Struthio camelus: one gene and its partner. The protein of the gene in region 2 purifies or fractionates together with the protein of the main gene of each other region. This does not show direct contact. Links are inferred from orthologs where the notes say so. Each region holds a gene or a part of one and is shown on either strand. Other genes may lie near its edges. The genes, in order: LTO1 and ABCE1.

The links.
Region 1: the proteins of ABCE1 (region 2) and LTO1 purify together in Homo sapiens (affinity purification with mass spectrometry; 4 studies listed by BioGRID and IntAct, with this or other methods). This does not show direct contact. The link is inferred for Struthio camelus from reciprocal best matches to the Homo sapiens genes ABCE1 and LTO1.

Annotation. Positions count from the first base shown.
Region 1 is NC_090946.1:32,661,874-32,673,925, forward strand, and holds the start of LTO1 (protein LTO1 homolog), read right to left. Parts: upstream 5,309-12,052; 5' UTR 5,239-5,308; coding exon 5,114-5,238; intron 4,530-5,113; coding exon 4,424-4,529; intron 1,591-4,423; coding exon 1,520-1,590; intron 1-1,519. UniProt on the Homo sapiens protein: The complex LTO1:YAE1 functions as a target specific adapter that probably recruits apo-ABCE1 to the cytosolic iron-sulfur protein assembly (CIA) complex machinery. May be required for biogenesis of the large ribosomal subunit and initiation of translation.
Region 2 is NC_090945.1:34,593,730-34,606,260, reverse strand, and holds the start of ABCE1 (ATP-binding cassette sub-family E member 1), read right to left. Parts: upstream 4,418-12,531; 5' UTR 4,044-4,417; exon of another isoform or gene 3,854-4,043; intron 1-3,853. Other genes in the region: ANAPC10 (anaphase-promoting complex subunit 10), read left to right, coding at 10,928-11,042, 12,483-12,531. UniProt on the Homo sapiens protein: Nucleoside-triphosphatase (NTPase) involved in ribosome recycling by mediating ribosome disassembly. Able to hydrolyze ATP, GTP, UTP and CTP. Splits ribosomes into free 60S subunits and tRNA- and mRNA-bound 40S subunits.

The DNA of each region.
Region 1 (12,052 bases), on a different chromosome or scaffold from region 2:
GGTCCTTGAAATTCTAAATACCGCTCGTGAATGAAATTCTCTCCAGCATCCTCCTATAATGTGGTCTTGTGTTTTATTAAGGCATCTCAAAGACAACACAATTTGCTAACAGGTTAGGAAAACACTGTATCTGTCCAGTCATATAAAATTAAAAAAGAATTAACTGAAATAAAAATACTAGATAGGGATTAAACCATGTATTTAGTAATTTTCAGAAACTGACTGTTAAGAATGCTAACGTTTTACCAAACTGAAATTAAAGTATCCTTAGGAAATAAATCATTTAATCTTCAGAAAATGAACCTGGAGCCGGTTTCTTGTCCAGCTAAATACGTTTAGAGTTTCCGAATGCCATGAAGCATATAGTACTTTCCTCTGTAAGGCACAGAATCTAACAAACCACTTCAGCACTTTCACCAGATTTGTAAGCTACTAGAATAAGGCCCAAGATAATGCAAGACTATATCTTTCTTCTTTTTAGAGGAACAGTATCTACTCTTTGCCAGCAGTCTTATGGAAGCTATAGAATCAACAATAGCAAACGCACACGTACGGATAGGACAAGACACCCCATCGTAACAAATTTTGCACAAAAGTATACAAATCACTCAGTGAAAGCACAGTGCAAGCCAGCTACAGTTAGCTATAGGCTGGAGATGCATGTAGCCTATAAGCTGGATTCTGCACGCAGTACCTTCTGAAGGCGCGGTCCAACTCTACCATCAACTGTTAGCAACCAGACAAGTACAACCTCGGCACTTCCTCACCAAAGATCTATTGTAGTTTCCAGTCAAGAATATTGTGTAGCGGTTAACAAGTCACCCTTACTTGCTACATATGTCAGCATCACAGCTTTTACATAATGAAAAAGTGCTCTGTTAATGGTTAGCAAACTGGACTGCAGTGACGTAGAAGTGCTGAGTGTTATTACTACTTTATAAACATGCATTATTCTCCATTTGGAGAAAAAAAGCCACAGAAGTCATAGAAAAACATAGGTTGAAAAGGATGTCTACAGGTTATCTAGTCTGCCTCCTGCCCAAAGCAGGGCTAACTTCAAAGCTAGATCAGATCAGGTTGCTCCCGGCCATCTCCAATCATATTTTGAAAGTCTAGAAGGATGGAGTTCCTATAACCTCTCTGGGCAATCTGTCCCAGGGCTTAACCACCCACACTGGGAAGAACTTCCTTCTTACCTCCTATCAGAATTTCACCTGTTGCAACTTGTAAACACTGCCTTTTGTTCTTTCACTGTGCACCTCTGCAAACACTCTGTCTCCATCTTATCTAGAACTTCCCCTTACGTAGTACAATTAGATACCTCCTTTGTCTTCTCTTCTCCAGGATGAAGAAACTCTGTTCCCTTACACTCTCTTCGGTATCATATGCCCCAGCACAGGATAACACCCCAGTGGCCCCTCTGCTCACCCTCCTTCTGTTTATTGATACTGGGGGGGCCAAAACCAGACACCTTAATTTGAATCAATATTAAAGGAATAACAATTATTTTTATTCCTACCTGTTCTTTTCATCTGTGCATTTGTGGAGCAGACACCGCCATGTAAGTGCAAACCCCAGGTAGCAGCCAACCTGTGAATTTATAAGAATGCCATGGGGGATATACACACACAAACACACGCACAAAGTCAAACAAACAAAAAAAGCATTGCATTCTAGCTCACTCTTCAGGAAACAAATCACTGGATACACAAATAAGTTTCTGTGTTGGAAAGTTCAGTAAATTACAGCAGGGTAACAGTTGAGTCCTTGAAGTTGCGTACTACAGTTTAAAACACAGCACAAACAGCAATTCTGAAAAACACTAGCCTATTTTATATGCTTTGAACTCCCAAATTTATGACTGTAAACTGTAGCAGTGGGGATATAACTAGAAAACAACCTGCCTATTTAGGATGCTTGGATAAGATTGGTTTTTGCAGCAGTGCCAGCAAATAGCCCCCACAAACACCTGTACCAGCTCAAATGAGGGAGCAGCCAAGTTAACTGAAGCAGGAAATTATCTTTTTTGAGAGTATGATTGAAATAATTTTACTAGTCTAACTGAAGACAGTAGCATGGAGTCAGAAAGAAGCACAAGGAGCTGATGAAGCTAGCCCTGCTGCCAGAAGAACTTCTCACTATGACTTTGGATACTAAATGAAATAGGAACGTAGATAAAGTTTTTCAAAGCACCTGCTGGACGAGATAGCTGGAGTCCCTTTCAAAAGTGACTTAATGTTGGTAGAGAAACGATGCAGACACCTAAAGCAAAATTTAGCTGAGTTTGAGGAGCTTAAGTCCAAAACTGCTGCCTAATCCCACACTGGTCTGTATGCGTGCATGTACATACATCTGACCTTTAAACTTAACAAAACCCTGTAGGACTTGGAAGTTCCTGCAGCTGACAAACCAACTTCAGAGTACAGCAGGAGCGTTTGGGATGCCTATGTTTGTTAAAATACACAGCGGAGGTCCTTCATGAGGCCCAAACATAAGTTTAGGATTAATATCCCATTAAGTGCTGGAGCATATTTCAAGTGAAGCTTCCAGTTTATTTTCTTCTAATAGCAATTTAATTTTAATGCACCAAAACTGCTTAGAGATCCAAGGTAAATGGAGACAACTGACAGATTTGTTTCAAAGTTGTACTACAGCTGTAAACCCAAACTACTGTCGTAAAACACACCTAGCCCCTGGACACTCAGCAGCAGGCTTCTGTGCATAATTAGCACAGCTCCACCAGAGGGGGGGCAGTGCCAATCTCTTGCTTGAGCCCAAAGCCATACCCTTTCTAAGCCCCTCTGAGGGATGTGATCTTACACGGATACATTGTAATACATTTTAATTACGCTATTTTCCTTTAATTCTCTCTCTGGCAAGGCCAGTAACAGATCTGTGATTTTGCTCAAGACACATAACAGGCTGAGAAATCTAAGATTACCCAGGTCAATCTCTCACTCATTTAACATGACTGCCTACAACCTTACCATCCTCCAGAACTTCCCTATATTAATAGGTTAGAACACTCCTCTATCACACTTTTATCTTAGGCATCCAGTTTTGGGGCTACTGTCTAACAGTATCTTCTTGGAACGCCACAGTTGTAGTGTAGGTAGCAAAACAGTACATCACTATACATTTCCGTATCATGCCCAAACGTAAAACAAAATTTTATAATAGACATCTTTCTGAATTTTTTACAGTTTACCATTTTCACCTCATAATGCACCAACACCATTGCCAGTGTTCTTTTTCCAGTTAATTAACTTCCTAAACCTGAAAGAGCGCTTGTAAAATTACCAAAGGAGCTTCAAACAGACCAAACAGATTGAGATTTGTGGTGCCGTACTGGAAATAAGCCCTGCTAAGAATCCTGTAGTACAGCTTCCACATCAAAGCTGAACTTGAAAAAGACCAGCTCAGGTCCAAAAATACTTTAACCACATTATGCAGCACTGAACATGCAACATTATAGACTTGAGCTGGACGGACAAGATGACAGAGTGGCACTGAGACACCTTGACTCATTTTCAGGAAGGTTTACTGAGTCAGGCATGGCATCATGTGAATCTAGCAATAAATGGAGCTGACTCTACCTACTGAAAAATAATTGTACCTCAGCCAACAAACACTACCAGTATTAGAAATAAGAGTGCAGCTGAGACACCCATAATTTCCCCCTTTATGAGGCAATCTGGGTGGAGAACCAACATTTCATGCTTTTGTCGGTTCTCTCATATCTGAGCTCCCTGAAGCCTTGATGAGTCAAGTCTTGACTAACTGAGAATCTTCTACTTGTCTTACACTGAGCCACAGATGACCCAGGAGGGCCTCTAGCCTGTTTTGTGTTATAAAAAGTAAATAAACACTACATGCATTGTCAGTTTGTTCTGAGCAAGCTTCTTCGACTTTGTTCATATTTTTCTCCTTTCTTCCTCCCTTTCAAAAGAAAAAAAAAATTCAGAATTCCATACAGCCAATAAACTCAGGAAATGTGAAACCATCGTTAAAAACGTTCAAATCAAAACATCACCTTTAAACTAGTTTTATGGGCCCTCTTGGACACATACAAAGCAATATAATTTAAAAAAAGACATTCTGCCTATGTACCTATGACTAGAGAGTGTAAATGGACTGTCTCATTCAAAAAAAATTCCTCATTATACAATTTAAAGTGCATAACGTCAATGAAGTTTATGGAATGTATTCAATTTTCATCTCCTAAATGCTAAATACTTTCAATGTTTTTTTTTTTTCCCTATGTGATGCTATCAACTGGTTCAGCACAATCTAAAACAAATTGCTTTAAATGATCCTAGAATGGAGCCCTTGGGCCTCAGGCTACCACCTACCATACCAGGCTTTGCTCAACAGTTTCTGTGCTACAGTGAGTTTCTTGTGATTCTAAAATTTTCCCATTTACCTCAGACCCAATCTTGGCACCGTGGAGTGATCCATACCTCCTTCCCTCAATAACTCCAACATGGCTGCCTTCAGCGTATCCCTCTTGATACCCCTCACCATGAAACCTACAAAAAGAGAAGTACAGTTTTTAATGCTTGTATTCATATCAAACACAAGCAACTCACACGGTCAAAAAACATTCTTTATCATTTCAGTAATACAAGTTTCCTATTTAGAAGTACCCCACAGCATTAATTTCAAATAACATGCATTTATGAACATCTAGGTGTTTTCAAACGAGTTTATAACATTTTAACACAAACAAGGCACTTCGCAATCCAACTTAATCCTTTTACCAACTAGCTATTATTTTTTGCACAGCTAATAAACTCTCGAGTCCGAGTCAAGTTTTAAAACGCGGGATTTTAAACATGCGAGCGCTGACAGAAGTGCTGCAGCGCACGCAGGGGAAGAGCTGACATCGAGGGACTCGGCCCTTCGGGGAGAAAGAAGGACGAAGACGGCTTGCCCCGCTGCTCTCCGCCCTCGCCCTTTCCCTGGCTCGCTGCCCGCCGCCGGCTCGCACCGCTCCCCCTCAGCGCCTTCCGCCCCCCCTGCCCGGCCGACCGTCAGCTGCGGCGCGAGAGGCGCCCGCCCCCACCCCGGCCCGAGCTCCGCCGCCAGGCCGAGGCCACTCCGCCGGCCCCACCTCTCCTCGGCCATCACGATGTCGTCAAACATGTCCGCGCCCGGCGCAACGGCCGCCGCCATCCCGCCGTGACAGCCCGAGACTCTGCTCCGCGCTCGACGCGCTCGACCGCCGCCGCTCAGCATGCCGGGAAAGGACGGCAAGCCGCAGGGGCCGCCGACGGGAGGCTCCAGTGCGCAGGCGCGCAAAGCTCCTCCCCCCCACCCGACTGCGGCCAGCCCTCAAGCCGCGAGGGGGCGTGGCCCAATGGGGTGCCGCGTGCGCGATGGGCGGGGCCTCCCCGCCCCCTCGCCCCGCCCCCCTCCCCGTGCCGCCGGCTGCTCTGTGCCGGGACTGTATCGCCCCGCCGCCCCTGGCGCGGCGGCGGCGCCCGCCTGTCCCTTCCCGTGCGAGTGGCCGCGGCGGCGCCTCGCGGTGCCGGCGCCGTTGGCCGGCCCCGTTCTCGCGGGTGGCCCCTAACGGCCCCTAGCGGCCGCCCCTAACGGCCCCTAACGGCCGCGGGGCGGGGCGCGCGCCCCAACGGCCGGCCGCGAGGCAGGCCGCGCCGCGCCAGGGGGCGCCAAAGCGCTGCGGCCGCCGCGGGATAAAGCGCCTCTCTGCTGTGCTAGGTGGGTGGAAGATGCGTTTGTTACTAGAAAACTAGCCGCCCTCGGTCTCAAGTAATTTAAGACGTGGTGCTTAACTAAGGTTTTTGGCCAAAGCTCTGATATCCTCCAAATGTAGCGAAAAGTTGCCGAAAGCCGCTTGGAAATGTTTCATCCAAACGAAAACAGAAACAGGTCGGTATCTTGAATACTGCCTTCCTGGCTGAGGAGGTGGATTATGAAGGCTGAGAGGCATACTGTGTTATCCAAGTTCTATAAAATGTTCAAAGGGAAGCTAACACCATCTCGCACCAAGGTGGACCTTGGTTCTGGTTTCTAGATGAGAACTTACAAAACGACAGCTGTACCAAAGGACTTGCTTATATAAAGCAGTCTCAAATCCCTGCAATGAGGTCTGTGCAGGTGTGCTGAAATAAGGTCATTTTCAGCTGGATGCCCCCAAGTACAAGTCAGTGCTCTGGATTCAGTTGTAGACTTGATTTCCCAAAATTACTTTGCTTTTTTTTAAGTGATCCATTTGAACGCTTGTAATGTGTTTCCTAAAAATTAAAATTCGGTGGATTTTTTTCATTTGTCATGTTTGTTTGTTAGGCCACGATGAGTAAGAGAGGGAAACTGTTTATACCATATGACTGCAGTGTTTCTTTCTTATCCTTTCAGTTCACTTCACTGGGTCACGCTTTCTCTAAGGCTTTCAGACCTCTGTTTTGTAGCCAGCTTCTTCCATGAGCTGATTAACTTGCACATACCCGTCAAAAGTATTAGTTGTCTGTCTGTCTGTCCTGGCGTCCAGTAAAATCTTTCTGATCTTCTGTAGAACCACTTTTTTCTTCATGTTTCTCTGGCATCACCTCTTTCTGTTCTCCAGCCCAACAAATACAAATGTCTTTCTTTGAGTCCTGTGTGGTGGTACTCCTTGAATACTTCTACAAGTAAAGCTCAATTTTTTTTTATTTATTGACTGATAAAGCTATCAGCTCTGATTCTAAATCGTTCATGGCAGCACAACCAGTATAGCAACATAAATGTTTTTATGAGTGAAAAATGACTATAAGAAAGAGAAGAAAGGAAGAAATATTTCCAACCTGGAACCTGAGCTAGATAAATATTGAACTGGATTGCTTTCAGGTTTTCGGAATATTTCTTTCTCCTGGAAAAGAAATAATCAAACAAAATGCCCAACCTTTTCTTTTTCAAGTAATGACTTGCCTCAGTTTTGCTACCCAATATGTCAGTTATTCCCTATTATGCTAGCAGAAATCTTTCATAAAAGCAATGTGTAGCCTAAACAATAAAGCAGAAGAACTGCCCCATGCCCCATCTGAGAGCTCACCGCTCTTACAGCCTGTTGATATATACTCAGCGTAGCTGCTAACTGTCCTCAGAGCCGCCTTGCCAGCAGTAGGCGGAGAAAGGGTATTGCCTGGAAATCACTTCCTCTGCCCATACTTAAGCCTCAGAGCTTCCAGAGCCTGTTCAAAAGGCTTGTTTAATCCAATATTTGTCTTTGGTTTTGTCCAGCAATTTACCACTACATCTTTTTAACAGCTATCAACCTCATTCTTGTAAAGCCAATATATTTTTCCTGTTTTACAGCCAGGGCGTACGATGTTTAGATTCACGCATTTTAGGCACAGAAGGAACCTGTCCTGACTATCTAGTCTGGTCTACACACAACCCAGGATGTGTAGCTCACTCAGTAATTTCTGCATCAGGCCTTGGACGCAGTTGAACCCCTGATCCAAGTTCTATTAAACTCCAAAAAAAAGTGTGATGTTGATATTACTGGGGATTTGGTTTGGCATTTTGGCATTAAGAAAACAGTTCAATACCACAGAGGGAGTGGGAGCTAGAAGTGGAATGGAAAAAAATAGTGATAAAACTGAAAGGATAAATCTTGGTTGCTTTCCCATGAAACTGTTAGGATGTGTAGTACTAAGGAAGACTTTAAATGCCTATGAAATTTTTGTCTCGTTTCTTGAGCTTATTTCTGGATGATATAATTTTTGTTTCTTTACCAGTCAGCCCAGCTGTCGTTTTGTAAGCACAAAATCATTTTGTAAAGAACTATAAGTAAGACTAATTTCCAACAGAAGAAATTCAAGAATCTAGTACAGGCCAGTTTTGCTTTGACCAGGGACATTTTTGCTTTTCAAATAGTATATGTTTGATGTATTTATATAACAGCACCAAACTCTAGTGTGCTATTCTAGACAGCTGTATTACTACATTTATTTATTATTACAGATGAACACTGGATAAGGGTAAACATTTATACTTACTTATAAGCATATATTTCAATATTCAGTTATACTGATGTCTTTCAGGCTATGCTGATTTATCTAGAGTGACTGTAGTCAGTCAGCCAGCTCGTGTTGTCTGTTAATTTCATGTTTAGATTTCCCTGAATCTCACACTAAATCACCAAAGTTTTTCCCAGGTGTGAACACCTATCCACTGTACAGCCTCTCAGTCACAAACACATATTGTTCACCAGCCATCTGATGTTAGTGGAAATGTTAGGTATCTTTGAAGATTTCCTCTAAGCTAGTAACTACGATTTAAATCTTGTTTTTGAAGTTAGAGACAAAAAGTTCTTTGATCTCAGTGGGCAGTAGGATTGATCGAATATGCTGAAAATAGGATAATTTTTTTCTGGCAAGTTGTGACAGTAAAGCTAGTTCCATTTTGGGGACATTCTTCTGCACCTTCAACAATGAGTCCAATCCAACAGGGTTCCCGATAAACTTAGTGTATGTCATAAATTCACCCCTAATGCAGAGTCCTGCTGAGATCTTTCCTTGCTCTCCCATTCGCTTCCAAGGGATATGCATCTCTACTTCCATCCCATTGGAAGCTGCCTGAATGGAGGATTGGCTTCTGTATGTTTTAGATGAAAGAGAATGCATTTGTTTAGTTTATCATGTCATTTTCTGTTCCTATACAAAGCACACTGGCAGCATAGGAAGCACCATCCAGATTGTTCACATACATAGCTTCAGCACTTAACGTTGCTATTATGAGCCTTGCATAAAGGATTTACAGCTTTTTACACTTCCCCAAAGTGGAAATGGAGATGCCCAGTATCTCCTTTTCTGCAGCCTTCTCACTACTCTAACAACTCTTATTTACACATCATAGCTTCCAGTTGAGACTTCACAAGGAGACATTCGACACCCTAACATGTTAAAAAGAATTTAGGGCTGTAAAATGTACTACTACAAATGAAAGCACTGCAATCGACTTACTGTCTTTGACAAACCATGATCAGCCCAGCCTTATATAGTGCAATTCGCAATGGTGGGGGTGTTTATATTCCCACAGAACCTACGGCAAGGATGTTTACAGGTTTTGCAAGTTCCTGACCTAGTCAGGTGTCTAATGGTAGGGAAAGCATTTTCCAGTAATCAGTCCACCTCAAGCTGTGATCTTGTCAGATTTCATAAGCAAAACGGCTGGGCCTGGTCAGTGCTTGGATGGGAAACCTCCAAGGAAAACTAAAGTGCTCCAGGAAGCGGTGTGGGTAATTTAGCTCCTGGCATTCTTCCCTCTGTCTGAATAAATATTGAACCAACCTCTCTAACCATGCTGTTACAGTAAGAAACATTGTGCTGCTGGTGGAAGATGCAAATTCAAAGGTGTCAGCAAATGGGGTCACTAAAAATCCCAAGATACTGTTCACGAATGTAGGGGTGCTCATTTTTGTGCTCTACACACATATTCACAAATAGAGACATTAAAGCTACCTAAAATTCTTTCAGCACTTAAATTAAACAGTGTATCCTATGCATTCTGTTCTTATTTACTGTTTCCCATCAAAACTGTCTTTTGGCAGAAAAGTGAATTTTTGATGAATTTTAAAAATATTCATATTCATTTTATTTTGTTTTCTAGTTCTTGAGTTATATGAAGGGGTCTTGAAAATTATCCAGGGTTCAAAGAAAATATAGTGTCTGACGAAAAGCTGAATGCCCCAAATCTGAAAACTGTTGGGATAAAACAATTTGAAAATCAGGACTACATTTCCCGATATATGAGGACTAGGAAACCTCCGGATGTGTGGTAGTGGCTCAGCACAAAGGAGAACGTGACCCATCATGGGAGATGTTTTCAGCCTAGAAATAAATCTACAGTTTCTGTGAGCCACCCATGCAGCGTTTCCAAACTGAAGTATTTGGTCTTTGATTTCCTGTTAGAAAACAACATCTTTTTCAGGAAGAACAACCTGTTTTCTCCCCACTTGCATTGCAGAGTATACTGCCATTTTTAAGAGGCAGCAGCATTCCACCCCCAGTATTTTTGCTTTTTGCCAGTGGACGATTTATGTACTAGTGTAAAAATCCACAGGTAGAGTTTGTGGTGTGGGCTGAGTCTGGCTGAAAATCACTGCTGACAGTTCAGTTCCTGTTGGTCATACAGGAGCGTGCTCCATGGTGTGCGCTTACTGACGTACAGGATGCAGCTTTGCCTATATTGGAAATTGGACCTGTCTGCAACCATCAGCAGCTGTACTCACCCAAGCCTCTGCTTTGCACCCATGCAGCAGAATCCCCCACTGGAAAAGGATGGCAGCAATCACATTTGTAGCAGATTTTTTCCATCTCTCGTAGAGCAGCTGGGGGCAAACACCGTAGGTCCCTCACGCTCACGTCAGCATCCAGCACGCTGATGTCAGCAAGCGGAGCAAACTGGGTTTAATGACATAAATGGAATGTAAAAGTCATAGTTTATAAAATAGGTGTACATCCATGATCACGACTGCCCACAGATCTTAGAGCTGAGCTTCCCTTATACATTGTACCAGAGAATAGGAACTTAAGATTAGGTCAGAAGTGAAAAAGAGAAAGTGCCCTTCTCTTATACCCACTAAATTATCAAAATTTAGTGAACTCTCTCCCTTGCATAGTAAAAATACCTTTCTTATACGTGCTATTTACCACAGAGTTCATCAGTAATTGGGAACAGATGGAGTCTGATTCCAGCATTGGCACTCAATGTCCAGCTCTGGGTAAATCGCTCGGTCTCTCTGTGTCCCTGTGTGTCATACCTCTTCAGCAACACCATCTTCACAAGGGTGCTGTGGGGCCAAATTCAGTAGTTTTATGAAGCTCCTTGAAGTCTTTAGGCTAAAGGAGTTACAAAAGAGAGTCAGCCAGGTTTTTGTGTTGAAGATGATTTTTTTTTTATTGCAAATGTACGTGTTACACTACTGGTAATATACAGAAATTTAAAAAGCTACTGTTTCATGATTACAAAACTTCACAAAATTTGTTACAACTAAAAAAATCCACCTTCAAGAGTATATAAATAGAATTTTGAGCATAAATAATAGTAACAAAATAAACAGATGTATGCATTCAATAAATTAATTATAAATATTGCATTGGCAATGAAGTGCTAGGTCAGAAGAAGAAGGCTAGTATTTCCAGTAGAGTTTTTTTGGTATAGAAATCTCTATTATAAATGAACCTTTGGAAAGGAGTAAAATCCCTGAACCCTTTTCTCACATTCCTTTTTGGGAGGAGTTTCAGGTTTGTTATTCCTTTGTCAAATTGTTGCAACAGGAGAACTGAACTGAAGGTATCAGACATGCACCTCTTGGCCATAAGGTACCCACAGTCTTTCCCTGAAAGGTGAATGGTATGACTGACCCACTTCTGCAGTATTCAAGTAACTAAACTGTCTCTCCATTGATTTCAGCTGATGCAGAATCAAGCCTGGAAGGCCTTAAAGGAACTGCTGATGTTGGAAGGTAAAACATGAAAACTTATTTTGCAATCGATTTGACCTATACATCATCTATTTTCAGTCTTTCTCTCCATTTGCTAAAGACATATATAGTTATATACAACAGACCTTCTGTTACTGAAAACTAATTGGTTGGTACTGCTCATTCCCTACCTGACGAACATAAATATTGGGTTCTGTATACACTTTTACCCATATATAGAATTCTCACTAATGTTAATGAGGAGTCTATATTGGATGATGCAGCTCCTACAGTAAACATAAGTTAGCCTATAAAAGAAATCAAAGATCCAGTTTTCCAAATTACCCTTTAGCAATAAGGGAAGGAAGAAATATTTCCCCCTCTTCCCTTATGTCTTAAGGGAAGAAGAAACACAATATACAAGCAGAATTGTTTTTCAGTGGTATGCTTTCAATAGAAAGTTTTCCCAGAATGTTGTCAGCAGCTTTTCAAGGGACAGCGTTTACTTTAGTTCACATAACCACATTTGCTAGGTCTCCCTTAATCGTGTGTTGTTCCAAATGTTTGTCTTTAAGGCCTATGAACCTACAAGATCGTTAACTTCCCTGTGAATGAAAAACATTT
Region 2 (12,531 bases):
TTTTAAATTCTCTATGATCAGAATAGACTGATAAAGTAGGGCTGCACTTGTGACTGCATCCATAGAACAGGCCAAGGAGAGAAAAACCGACTGACTCCACAGCGCAGCGGCTGGTACATTCATTAAGGACATGGGATAATAGGCTTACGATTCTCACTTCAATACATTTTCAACAGGAAAAAAAAGTAAGAAATGGAAAGTCTTCCTCTTAAGGAGGAAGGAGGTCTTAAGGAGGGAGACCTATAAGGAGGTCTGAGTCAGGGTGATCTTCTAGAAGACTAGAACACTGGGTTTTGTCAGCGTTTCAACTGAGACAAAGAACGATTAGGGAACATATTTCACTGGTATGAAAAGAGTCCCCTAGTTTGTATTGCACAGGGTACTAGAAGGTGGATCACCCACTTCCTCTTTGGTTTTCCAAGGCAAGGTGCCTAACCTGGGTCAGCCCTAGCTCCAGCAAAGCTTGTGGCTGAGGACACTGAGCAGCCAGATCATACTGGTCTATCTCCTGGGCAGGACTTTACCTGCTAGTCATCTTAGCTCTTCATTAGCACAAAGGCTGTTTCTAAGAGCCACAAAAGCAAGCACTAGTAGACAGACTTGCCGAATTTCAGAAGCTTACCTCCTCCACACAACATCCCAAACCTGCACTAGAGATTAGTGCCTAAGCAGTACAGATAGCAGATCAGGCCATAAACTCAGTCCTCATCCATCTCACCTTCCAGTCTGGCATCTTATCTTAAAGCACTGAAAGAGGAGAATGGGGTGGCTGGGTTGCTCTAAAAGACAAAGTCAAGTATGGCTTAAATCAATTAGTTTTTGCCACCTACCTCAGTGAACTTTTTAACCAGCCTTGGCAGGAAACCCCCCCCCCCCTAAAGTTTACACTATTACCCCTTGCTGAATCAGACCTTTGTTAGTAAGTAATACAGCAGCTCAGGAACTTTTTACTTTGCTTATGGAAAACTTTACTTAACTTACCTATACAGGGAAAATGCTTATCTGTGGCAGAGAGTTCTGAAGGGACTACAAGTCACAGGTGTTAAGTACGCCAAGTACTTTATAGAGAGGGGAAAACAGAAGAAAAGAGGGAAATGGAAGTATTGAACCGGTATGGTGACAGTCACTCATGCCTCCCTGTTCCCATCTACTCAACGGAATTGCCAGTTTATCAAAAACTCTATGAGGGGTCTTAAGTTGTTCTCAGAAGACAATATTTTGTGACTTCTCTGGAAATAATGCTGTTGCAGAAGTGATAGAAGTCCCAATGTCTAGGATAATAACTGTCCACAAGAAATGCAGCTTTGTATTGCTCCCTCTCCCCCCAAACAAAACAACAAAATCCAAAACTCATTTAAATTTCTATAGCTTCAAGCCAATTAAAAAAACACCGTCTAAAAACAGACTGAGCTCAAGTTACATATTTATATACAATTATTTCAGTGGCATTTAGCACATCAAAAAGGACTGTTCGATTTCGCAGGGCAGACAGTGGAACTCTCAAAGCACGGAATATAGGTCAGCAACACATACGATATGTATATGCTACAATACAGCATACCAGTAATTGTTAGGTAGAGTCAGCAGTTTAAGGGCAGGAGAAACTGGTATTCAGAAGTGTTTAAATTCAATTCTATATTTCTGTTTTCCAAACCAAGAAGAACAGAACTGAAAACAAAGTGCAAATATATTAATTTGTTACTAATTACAGAGTAATACATTAATTTGAATTAGCGAATTCTGATAGAAACACAACTGGAAATCTTTCCAGAACAATGGAGCGGTGACACAGGTAAAAGAATGTGAGGAAGAATAACAAATGTTAGCAAAATAAAGTTTTAAATCTTTGACAATATCATTTACTGAAGCCAAAAGCTGCCCATTAAGTCTGATTATGACTTAATACAAATAAAGCAGGTTTAAAAATAAGGAACACAGAAAACGTTATCACAAGCGTTGTAAGTCAATGTTCTTATGCTCTCAGATGCAACTGCTATCTCAGACACACGGGGCGGGGGGGGGGGGGGGGGAAGCACCCACGCAGGCTATCACAAAAGGCAGCAGTTATCTATAATCCATGGGAGAAATTTAAAGTCCTTGCATTAGGAAATACTCATATTTATTTTTTCTTTCCCAGAAAAGCACAATGCAATTTACTGAATCAAGTCAGTTATGACAGAGGACAACTTGTAATAGCTCTGAATTATTAATCAGAATTAAACATGCAAACATTAACAGTGACAATGAAGACTGAAGCATAACCAGAGAGAAGACATTTCAATTATGAAGGAAAAGCTACGAAGGAGAGACGTGTGTTCAGAACCGAGCGATACTTTAGTTACTTTGCAGAAAAAGCAGCGAAAATTTTAATTAATTGCATCTCATCAGATCTAAATGATAAGTAGTGTAAAAAGAGGGAGGATGAATAGCACGCATTTACACTTTTCTCTGAAAATCATTAGCCTCAAGAATCATCTCTCAATCCATCTTTAAAGCACTATATCCAGTTACGTCACAACTAGAGCAAGAAACTTACAGATTAGATACCCAATGAAAATTTAAGTGAAAGACATGAAAATTTGTTTTCTTGCTATCATATAAGGGAGTACATTTATAAAGCCCAGAGCAGAAATAACAGTAAATGTTAAAAGTGCAAACAAGGATCTACCGAGAATTAAGAACTAGTCTACTAGCTCTGACATGTTTCTTTGGGAAACTAAAATAACGTTGTGCAAAGAGAAGTTTTAAATCAGCCCCAAATCTCTTAATCATTACTGCATTTACCTCAACATATTGCTTACAAGGCACAACATGAATATAAAAACAATGTTAACCGGAAAACCATATGCCCAAATACGCTGATGTGGCATAATAAGTGGGTATGCTTAGCTGGTGTTGAAGAGTATTAATTAATTATCACTCAATCCTTAGTATTTCCTTTTAACATGAAGAGAAACGCGTAAGAATAAGCCCATAAGTTAGCAACATCATCTACCACATGAAAATTCAACGAGTATTTTAAGGATCACTTTCTTAGGACAACAGTTTAGGAAACGGTAGAAGAGAATCTTGAACCTGAAAACTGTCACAGAAACCTGCAGGTGAAGCAGCTAAGTGCATTCCAGAGAGGAAGCGCTACCAAGGTCCTACTGAAAATCCCTTCCTGTATTTTCACTCATCTTGGAAAAAACAGCCCTACCTATTACCATGTGAAACCTGCAAGACGTCTTAATCTCTTCACTACACAACCACATATACGGATTTTAACTTTCTGGAAATATGGCAAAATATGACTTTTTCCTCCAGCAGTGAAATTCCTCACTTTCAGGAAAAAAAAAAAACACTGCTTTTTCCCTTTCCAGGCACTAAGCCTGCATAGGGGTCTCTACACGCAAGCAATCCCTACGGCTACTCTCAGAAGCACACAATGATTTCCCCCCCCCCTTTTGTTTTCACTGGGCTGCTGCATAGCAAAAGAGAGCCAACAAAAAAAGGCTGCTAAGAAAAACCGACCGACTCTACGTATTTCGCCAGAAAACGCCAACTCCACGTAGGGGCAATTCCAGCTGCAGAGAGCAAGACCTCCCACCCCACAGAGACAGATGCTTCTGCGCCCCGGGGAAGGCACCAGGCCGCACAGGCAGCGTAGGGCTAGGCAGAAAAGCCCCGCTTTGGCCGCTACTGGGGGCTCGGGAGGAGCAGCGTCGGCCCCGCTCCCCGCTCCGGGCCGGGCCCGCCCCGCCGGCGCCACGGGAAGCCGCAGGCCGGGGCCCCCTCTGCCCCCCCGGCCCCTTCGCCTCCTCCCCCCCTCCCCCGCGCAAGGCCGTCGCCGCTCCCTCCGGGGGCCGCTTACCGGGAGGGGAAGGGGGCGCCGCCGCCGCCGCTCCTCCCCGGCCGGGCTCCAGCCGGGAACGGAGCCGCGTCGTCCGCGGGCCGGCGCGCAACGTGCTCCCGCCGCCACCCGGCCAAGATGGCCGCCTGCCCCGCAGGGAGGGGCCTGGGCCACGCACCATAGAGAGGAAAGAGAAGGGCGGGAGGCTCACCATAGAGAAACGGAGCACGTTGAAAGAGAGAGCGGCGCCTCCGGCTGCAGGGAAGGGAGGGGCTGGCGTCGGAAGCGCGGCAGGGACGCGGCGGCGGCGGGGGGCTGACGTCATCTCCGAGTGACACCGCCTCAGAAGGGGCGGTGCCACGTTACAGGCCGGGTGTGGAGGGTGGGGGGTGTCGGCCGGCGCGGCTCCCCGCCCGGCTTCCTCGAGTGCTGCGGCTCGCTGCCGTCCTCCGTGAGGGGGGACCGGGCCGCTGCTGCTTGCGCCCCTTCCCCTGCGCCACGCTGAGTGGCGCTTGTGGCGCGCGCGCGCCACCCCCCACCGGGTGCACGCGGGCACCTGCGAGCGCGCTCCGCCCCCCTCCCCCCCCCCGGCCTTTCTCTTTTAAACCGAGCTCGCGCAGTGGTCTGCGCGTGCGCGGTCAGGCGGCGGTTGAACGGTCAGCGCGAGCCCGGGAGCCGCTGGCGGTTTTAAAAGGGACTGCGTGAGCTGCGGGTCCTCACGCAGGTGGCGGCCTCTGCCTGCCCTTTGCCGCCGCTGAAGGGGCCCGTGTGGCGCTGGGCCGTCTTGTCCTTTCGCTGCTATCCCCGACGCCGCCGCCGCAGCAGTCACCGAGAATCAGGTGGGGATGCCGCTCTGCTACGCCCCGGTGGCGCGGGGGAGATTTCGCCGCGTATCTCCTGGTCTCGTCGGTGCCTTGAGCCAGCCTCGGCTGGGGGGAGGGGGTGCGGCTCCCCTCCTCTCCCGTGTCTCGTCTCCTGGTGTCACGGCAGCCGCTGAAGCTGTAGCGGTGCCCGGGCAAAACGTCTGCTTTCTTATGCGGTGTGCTTGCTTGAGCTTTAGAGCGTTTAGCGGCTAGATATAGGGGTTCACTTATAAATAGGTACTTTGTATTTCTCGTTTAGTGCATGTGTGTTTGCTTATGCATTTAAACTAAGACACCCCCTCCCCCCAAATTGAGAGAGAGGAAATATGATTTGGCCGTTAAGCACAACTGATGTCTTGAGTCGGTGCTGCTGCTTAATTTCCAATGTTATAAATATTTCGAGAGGCTAGGGAACACAATCATAGTGGAGCGACTAAAAACAATTAATTATCGTTAAAACCGTAAATCAAAATAAAAGTCCTATGTAGACGTTAGAGGGCTAGCAAAGAGGCCTGAGTGAAAGCAACTTCATTTGTCAAAGATGGTTTTGTCCTCTAGTTGTTTTATTTTTTTTAAAGATTGCTTTTAACCATACCTAAAGAAGTGCTTGTATCCTTCCCAGAATCTTTTCTGAAATCTGAACTTGTGTAAAAATGTCTTTTATACGTCTAATAAGATTGATTAGGGATATATTTAAAAAAATTGTTAATGTTCTCATGTTCTGATATGTAATTGTTTGAATTAATTTTGGTAGAACATATATGGCCGTGACACCAACTGCACAAGAGATTTGAGCCGTTTTCATGCTCTTAGGCTCAAAGCAATATAGTGAAGTCAGAATAAAAATAGTAAGTACTAATAAATGTATCTGAGGAATGAAATGTGCAGCGGAGGTGACTGTTATTGAAATAGCTTGCTACTGGACACTTGATGTGTTTTTCTTTCATTTAAGTGGAAAAATAGGAAATGTGGTAAGATGCTACTTTCTGGATGTATCTTTGGAGCTTTACAGGCCTTAAAATCAACAAGGGACCACACAAAGAAAGTGAGAGCAGTGAGGGGGGAAGAAAAGTACATATGGGATAAAATGAGTACCATTAAGTAGTACAAGTATGAAAGTCAGGAAAGCAACGGTGTGAAATTCCTTCCTGTTAGGAAGGATAAGGGAAACTGCTATATGAACCATGGATATTGCAAAAAGGCAGAAGGAGTCCATGCCTTCTTTGTTCAGTCTTGATGAAAAAGTTGTCAGATACTTGCTAAAACTCTATGTAATGAGACAATGGGAGTGCAGGTAAAAATCAGAAAGGAGCTAGCGGGATAAGAGAGAAATTAAAGTTGGCAAGAGCTGAAAAAACTCGCCATAGAAAACGTAGGGAATTAGCTGAAGTATTTTTCTGAATTGTTGGAGATTATCTTAATTTGGGCAAGTCAAGTAAGCCTCTGAAACCTATAGAAGTTCAAACGTGGCCTTTTCTTTTTTTAAAGACCAAGAACAGAAAATATGAGAAATCATGGATCAGTGAGCCTAACTTTGATCCTCTGGAAGATCCTGGAGGAGGTAGGGGAGTAGAATTTTTTTTTTAGCAAGTAGGAGACAATTGAGAAAACAAAAAGCAAACAGAAACCTGGCTAGCTTTGTTTTATTAAGAACAATCTGGATGAAACTTATTTATTTTTTGACAGTAGCCAATGTAGTTAATGAAGAAGCAATACACGTGGTGTGTCTTGACTTTCACAGGGTCTCTGTCATTGTCTTGGTTGGCGTTGTTTTTAACAAGTTACTGAAATGTGGTCCACGGTTATTTTTTTTGAGATGTGTACAGCTGCTTGAAAAATTGCTTCTCTAAAGCTGACTTGTAAATAATTCCCTGTTAAGCAGGGATGTCATGAGGCATCCTCCCAGAGATTTGTTTTGAATGTGTATTTATTCAGTTTTCTTCAATAGTAAACATGAAATGTGAATGTTGCTAAAATGCAAAGGATTGCAAACACTGTGCAGGACTGGGTCAAAATTCAAAATGATCTTAAAAAGTTGGAGAACTGGTCTGAAGTCAGTGAGATTAAGTTCAATAGAGACAAGAATTGAGACTTGAACACAAGCAGGAAAAATCAAAGGTAAAATTAGTGGAAGGGGTATTACTGAAGAGCAAACGGTCCCCAAAAAGCACCTGAGAATTAGAGTGCATAAATATTAGTAATTTGATGCTGTTTCATATAGATAAATGTTTCTCTGGCATTTGTTAGCACATGTGATTATATATAAAGACTGGGAAGGTAAATTTTGTTGTTTTTAATTGTAGTGTGTAGCTCTCTAGACTGCAAAAATACTAGGTTCATAAGACTGCTTGTGAGGGAGACCTGAAAGGAATAGGTACTCTTAATCTAGAGAAGTAACTGAGAGCAAATCTAGTGGTGGTCCTTAGATATCTAAGTTACATAAGGGTTAGTGAACAACTAATCTTTGACTTACCTATAGAACACAAGAGGAAATGTTTGTTTTTAGAGGATAATACTTGGGTTGGATATTAGGATGACAAAACACTGAAGCTGACTATTCGCCAAGGTTGTTAAATCTGCAAAAGTTTCCTTGCACTTGGATTTGCATGGAGCTTTAGCAGGAAAGAACCAACATGTGTCCTGCTCATCTCTTCAGTGTGACGCAGAAGAGCGTGTATGTGCTCAGCAAGGGGTTTGCTTTGAGATATACACCTTTTAAGTGTATCTTCTCTTGGTGTACTGAGAATGACTTTAGCTTGGATTGTGGAAAGTAGCTGTGTTGAACCAAGTAAATTCCATTTCACTCTCTTTATAAACCTTACTTTTGATAAAACTTCTTTCATGAATACTATTTCACAGAGATGTCCTCCAGAAAAGAGCAAACATATCCCCTTTTTGGGAAGGAAACAGGAAGATGCTGAGGGATAGAGAGATCAAGGGTTGGGGGAGGGAGGAAGCCCAACCCTCCTCTTACCTTAATCAAAAGATGGGTGTGTGGCACATTAGAAGGTGGCACAATGGAAGTGTGACATTTAATGTTTTAACAACACAATCAAATATTCACATTTTCATTAAGGAAACAACAAGCCTAATAGTAGTCTTTAGGAGTAACTGGTTTGGAAAATGGGAGATGTTCCCAGCCAGTGTTTCTATAGAGGCAGTGTCTCTGCATTTTCTAGCATATCTCAAAGACAAGGAGAAAGGCTTCTAGACGGATTACTTTTTTAACAGCCTGGAGCTGATTCTCATTCTATTATATTTTCAGTCTAAGAAAATGTTTTTTTTTGTTTGGTGACTTAAGTCAGATGCAAATGTGATTTTATTATTATTGCGAAGTATTAGCATCTTGTCCAAAATGAAGAGCTTGTACCTCTGCTAGTAAAAAGCCAAAATGTGTTACTGGAGTATGTGGGCCTGCTGCTGTTCTATTTTCCCTGTACTTTCATTGGCTCACTTGCTTTATGAGTTCCTGGTGTATTAGGAGTCAAAGCTATCCAGAATGTATTGTTGCTTGCTAAGCTGGTTAACCAGAAGTTCAGTCATGGAAAAACTGACCTGATTAGTTCAAACTGTTACTTCAAACACTAATGATTTTCAGTCTTTCATATTTCTAGTGCGTGATCTATGGCAGGCTTATTTGCCAGCAGTGGTTTGGAGTTGAAATTTGGCTGTTTAGTAGCTTTACCTGTTGGAAGGAAGCAAGCTCAGGCTGTGAAAATGAGAAGCTTAGGTCATACTTCTCATTGTAGATTTCAGGCCTGCAAAATGTATGCCTCAAAAGTCTGTGGACCAGTGCAATACATAAAGTATAAATCTTAGCGGTGTTAAGTTGTTTTGGACTTCTCTGTGTCTTGAAGCTTATAAGATATCTCAGCGTCACGGTTTTCAGAGGTTCTGAATGCTTTAAAATTTCAGTGTGTATATATATATTTTTTTAAGTATGAGTAATCAGCTTTCTGAGGTAGCCCAAGTGAATAATGTGGTTTCTATGACTTACCCTATTTTAATACTTTTGCATAGTTCTTAGTCTTAAGGTTGTTTTTCTGTTAATCTGACAATAGCTATTTGTAGGATCACAGATGTGACTGAAACTTGGGAGTTTTTTTAATATTTCTGATTCAAGAGAAATAAAGGAATAGGAAGACTTGCTGGTGGTAATATTAAAGAGTTTGTGTTGAACTGGTAATTTAGCTTTAATCTGCAAGATTAAATTTTCTATGTATATTTTTAGAAATGGGAAGAACAGGAATGTTGGTTTCTGTATGAAAATGAGAATTAAAATAAGTGCAGCTCAGCCTCTCTGGTTCTTTATCACAAAAGCACAAAATAATCAATGCGGACTCTGGATAGTTAGTTGATTTAAGCTTTAAAATTCATGAGTTTGGGAAAATAGTCTTTCCTCAATGCTTAATAAGCATATTTTGGTTACTAGGATAACAAAAGACTGAACTAAAGCATTTTGTAACTTTTTCTGAGAGAGGTTTAAATTCTCAGAAGATCAGAATAATTGATGAGCATGGTATTTTATTGGAACTGCTGTCAACAGATTTAAACTTGTACTAATTTGCAACTAGAGTAAGTTAAACACTTTTATTATATAGTCTATTCTATGGATTTACATGTTTATAGTGTAGCCAATACAACAGAGAACAGCTACATTTAAAAGGGGCTATTCTAAATACCTGTTAGAGCTTTAAAAACGAATAATACAGTATTTAAATATGATGGCTACTGAAGATTAATGTGGTAGTGTCTAGTACAGGAAAGGTGAAATTAATTGTTAGGGCTTTTTAATGCTGTTTGATTTCAAACACTTTTGCAGGAAAACACAATGAAAAGACTTCAAAATGTCATATTACATGAAGTTCTTAATCACATCCAATTAGAGATTTGTGTGTGTGTATATATATGTGTATGAATTAAATGAGTATATACGTGAGATCTTTAGTAGCTGTGTGAAGTTTTGCCCATTTTTCTGGGGCCACAGAAGGCCTTGCTCAAACAACGATCTTTTGTGATATTTGCTGTTGTCGGTCCTTATTTTTTACAACATAGGTAATTATTTCTTTGGACTTTTTAATGGCAGTCATGACTGCAACCTTGAATGTGAGTGAGTCACAACAGAACCGGAAGTCTATCTTAACTTTGTGTTACAAAACGAGAAAAATGTGTGTTTTTTAAATGAGAACCAGATAGAAGATATTTCGTGCAGACAAAGATGTAAACTACAGAATTCAGATTTCTTGTGTCCTACCCAAAAGTTTTAGCTGCAGAGCTATTCTTCTGTGGAGAATCCTTAGTTTGTTCTCTGACCTGTATCATTTCTGTAGTGGCTGAGGCCTAGATGGATACCAGACTAGTTTTGTACCTCACTTTCTATCTAGCAGGAGTACTGGAAGACCTCTTTCTGCAATTTAGCAGGGTGTAATGTATTGTCATGCATGTAAGCAAAGGATTAGAAGTCAACTCAAAATTCCTGATTCTTGAGTGATTTATATTTTAGGCTTTTAATGTAGTTCCTTGCATAGAGTTTGTTCCTTTCTAATCCTTTGAGGGGGAAAACCAGTTTGTTTATTTTTTAAACTATTTTCTAGGTAGAAGGTGCTCCATAGTAAATGAAAAACAACATGTGTGGTGGTAGTTTAGGCACAAAGACTCAGTGTGATTACTTGGGCAATGTGTATTACAGGTTAATTATTCCAGATGAAGTTGTGAAGTTAAAGACATGGACTGTGGATAAATGCATCAATAACCTCTCCCTACCAAATTAGGGACCACATGATTTGTTTAAACTTTGCTTTCCTGCAATTAAGGAGAAATATCTTCAGGATGACTGGCTTGCTCTAGCTTCTGTATAGGCTTCTGAACTTGCAAATTAAAAGGAACCTCACAAGTGCAGGGAAAAAACAAATATGTAGCGCTGGCCTTTAAATCAACAGGGGCTTTTTTGATTTTTGAGAGAAACCTAAGAAAACCTGAAACCCTAAGTAATTCTCAGTATGAATGAGAATGATAAAAGTGAAATGTGTGTTATGAATGTTCCAAGAGTGCATCAAATTCTTAGGGAGACAGACTTTTGCATATATGTGGAACCACGGAAATAAGTCGTATAGAGAGGGAGAGAAGTGTGAAGCCAGAGAATTAAAGCTTTTATATGAAATAACACAACTCCCCTGTTCTCCCGTCAAGCTGAAAATGTATCAACTAACTTGCTTGTTCTCTTTTCTCAGAAATGACTACCCCAAACAAGACACCACCTGGTGCTGATCCAAAGCAGTTAGAGAGGACTGGTACTGTTAGAGAAATAGGCTCACAAGCAGTTTGGTCACTTTCATCCTGTAAGCCAGGTAAAATTGCACACAAGAAATCAACAGTGGAATGTAAATTTTTCTTCTTAGAAAATCAAATACAAAGTTTTACCTTTTGATGGGAAGACATAGTTTGTTCTTTGACTTTGGAATTATTACTCCATGAGGCAAAGTGTAGCATTAAAACTACCTTGGTATAAACTGTATTCGGGGCTACTAGAAATAATTTTGGCCTAGTCTGTATTTGATGCAATTTGAAAGTGTAATTGTATTAGAAAATCCAACAGTGAAGAAATATTTCATGTTAAAATCGTAAGTTCTGTTCTGTTAAACTAAATTGTTTTTACCCGCACAGTGAACAAACTAAACCACCTGAGCAGAAACACTACTAGCACTGTATAATTGTTTCTATACTTGGACGTTTTGCCCAGATAACTTTAATTTTAAGTGAGGAAAAACAATTCATGCAGCTAGGCAACGTAAATACTCTGTCCAAACTTTAGGTGCAGACTTAGTCGTTATACTGTGGCTTCCTAAATTCCTGCAAATAAAATTAAGCCATTGTTAACAGTACAGGGGTGCAGTTAATAGTCATTTGCACCTGCTCAAAATACATGAAAATGTGTTCTATTCATTGGAGGTGATTTCAGAAACATCTGGCAGGAATCGATCTAATATCTTGCTGCAGTCTAGGAACAGTAATTGTGATATTCTGCTCAGGCTGAACATCTTTGATCTGATATGCTGATATTGGGAGAAAAATACCTTATGGATTAGTCCCTTCAAACAGAGTTAAGATAACTTTTACTGCAGATTGAGCTGTAACTGCTAAATGAAAATTGCAGCTAGTGTGGGCAATCAACAAATGGATGTGGTTAGTAGAAGGGATTGATAATGAGAGAGTACGAAAAACGAAGATTTGGTGATCCTTCTTTAAATGTGATTACTTTAGCTTTTAGGAATACTGTCATTGAAGTGTCTATTTTTGGCATCTCTTCATTACATGTTCTAGCTATTAACTGGTTCAAAAAAGTGAAAACATAATTCAAGAATCTAGTTGAATAGAAACATGTAATATTTGGCTGAAATCTTATAAAGGAACAGTTTTTTTCCTTCAGTTCAGCAATGTGATTCTAGACTAGATGTAAAAGCCTAACCATTAAGTATTGTTCCTGCATTTATTACAAATTACTACTTACTATTTGTAACCCCAGGATGTGCTGAGTGATTTCACATCCCACAGACCTTAATAGCAGATAAGGATGTAAAGGTATTGTAGTAGTGAGCTTTTATTGACAGTCCCCTGTTCCAATTTTGTTGCAAAAACACAACGTGACTTGGGTATTCATAAGTATTTCTGTGCTTGTTATAACTTAGGATACTTATTTTTGGTTTGTAACAGCTCTAGAAAAGTTAGTCTGTGATGTCTGTGTTGCAGAAACAAGATACTGAGGATCATAACCTTTTCTTTTTTCTTAGGATTTGGAGTGGATCAGTTAAGAGATGATAATCTAGAAACCTATTGGCA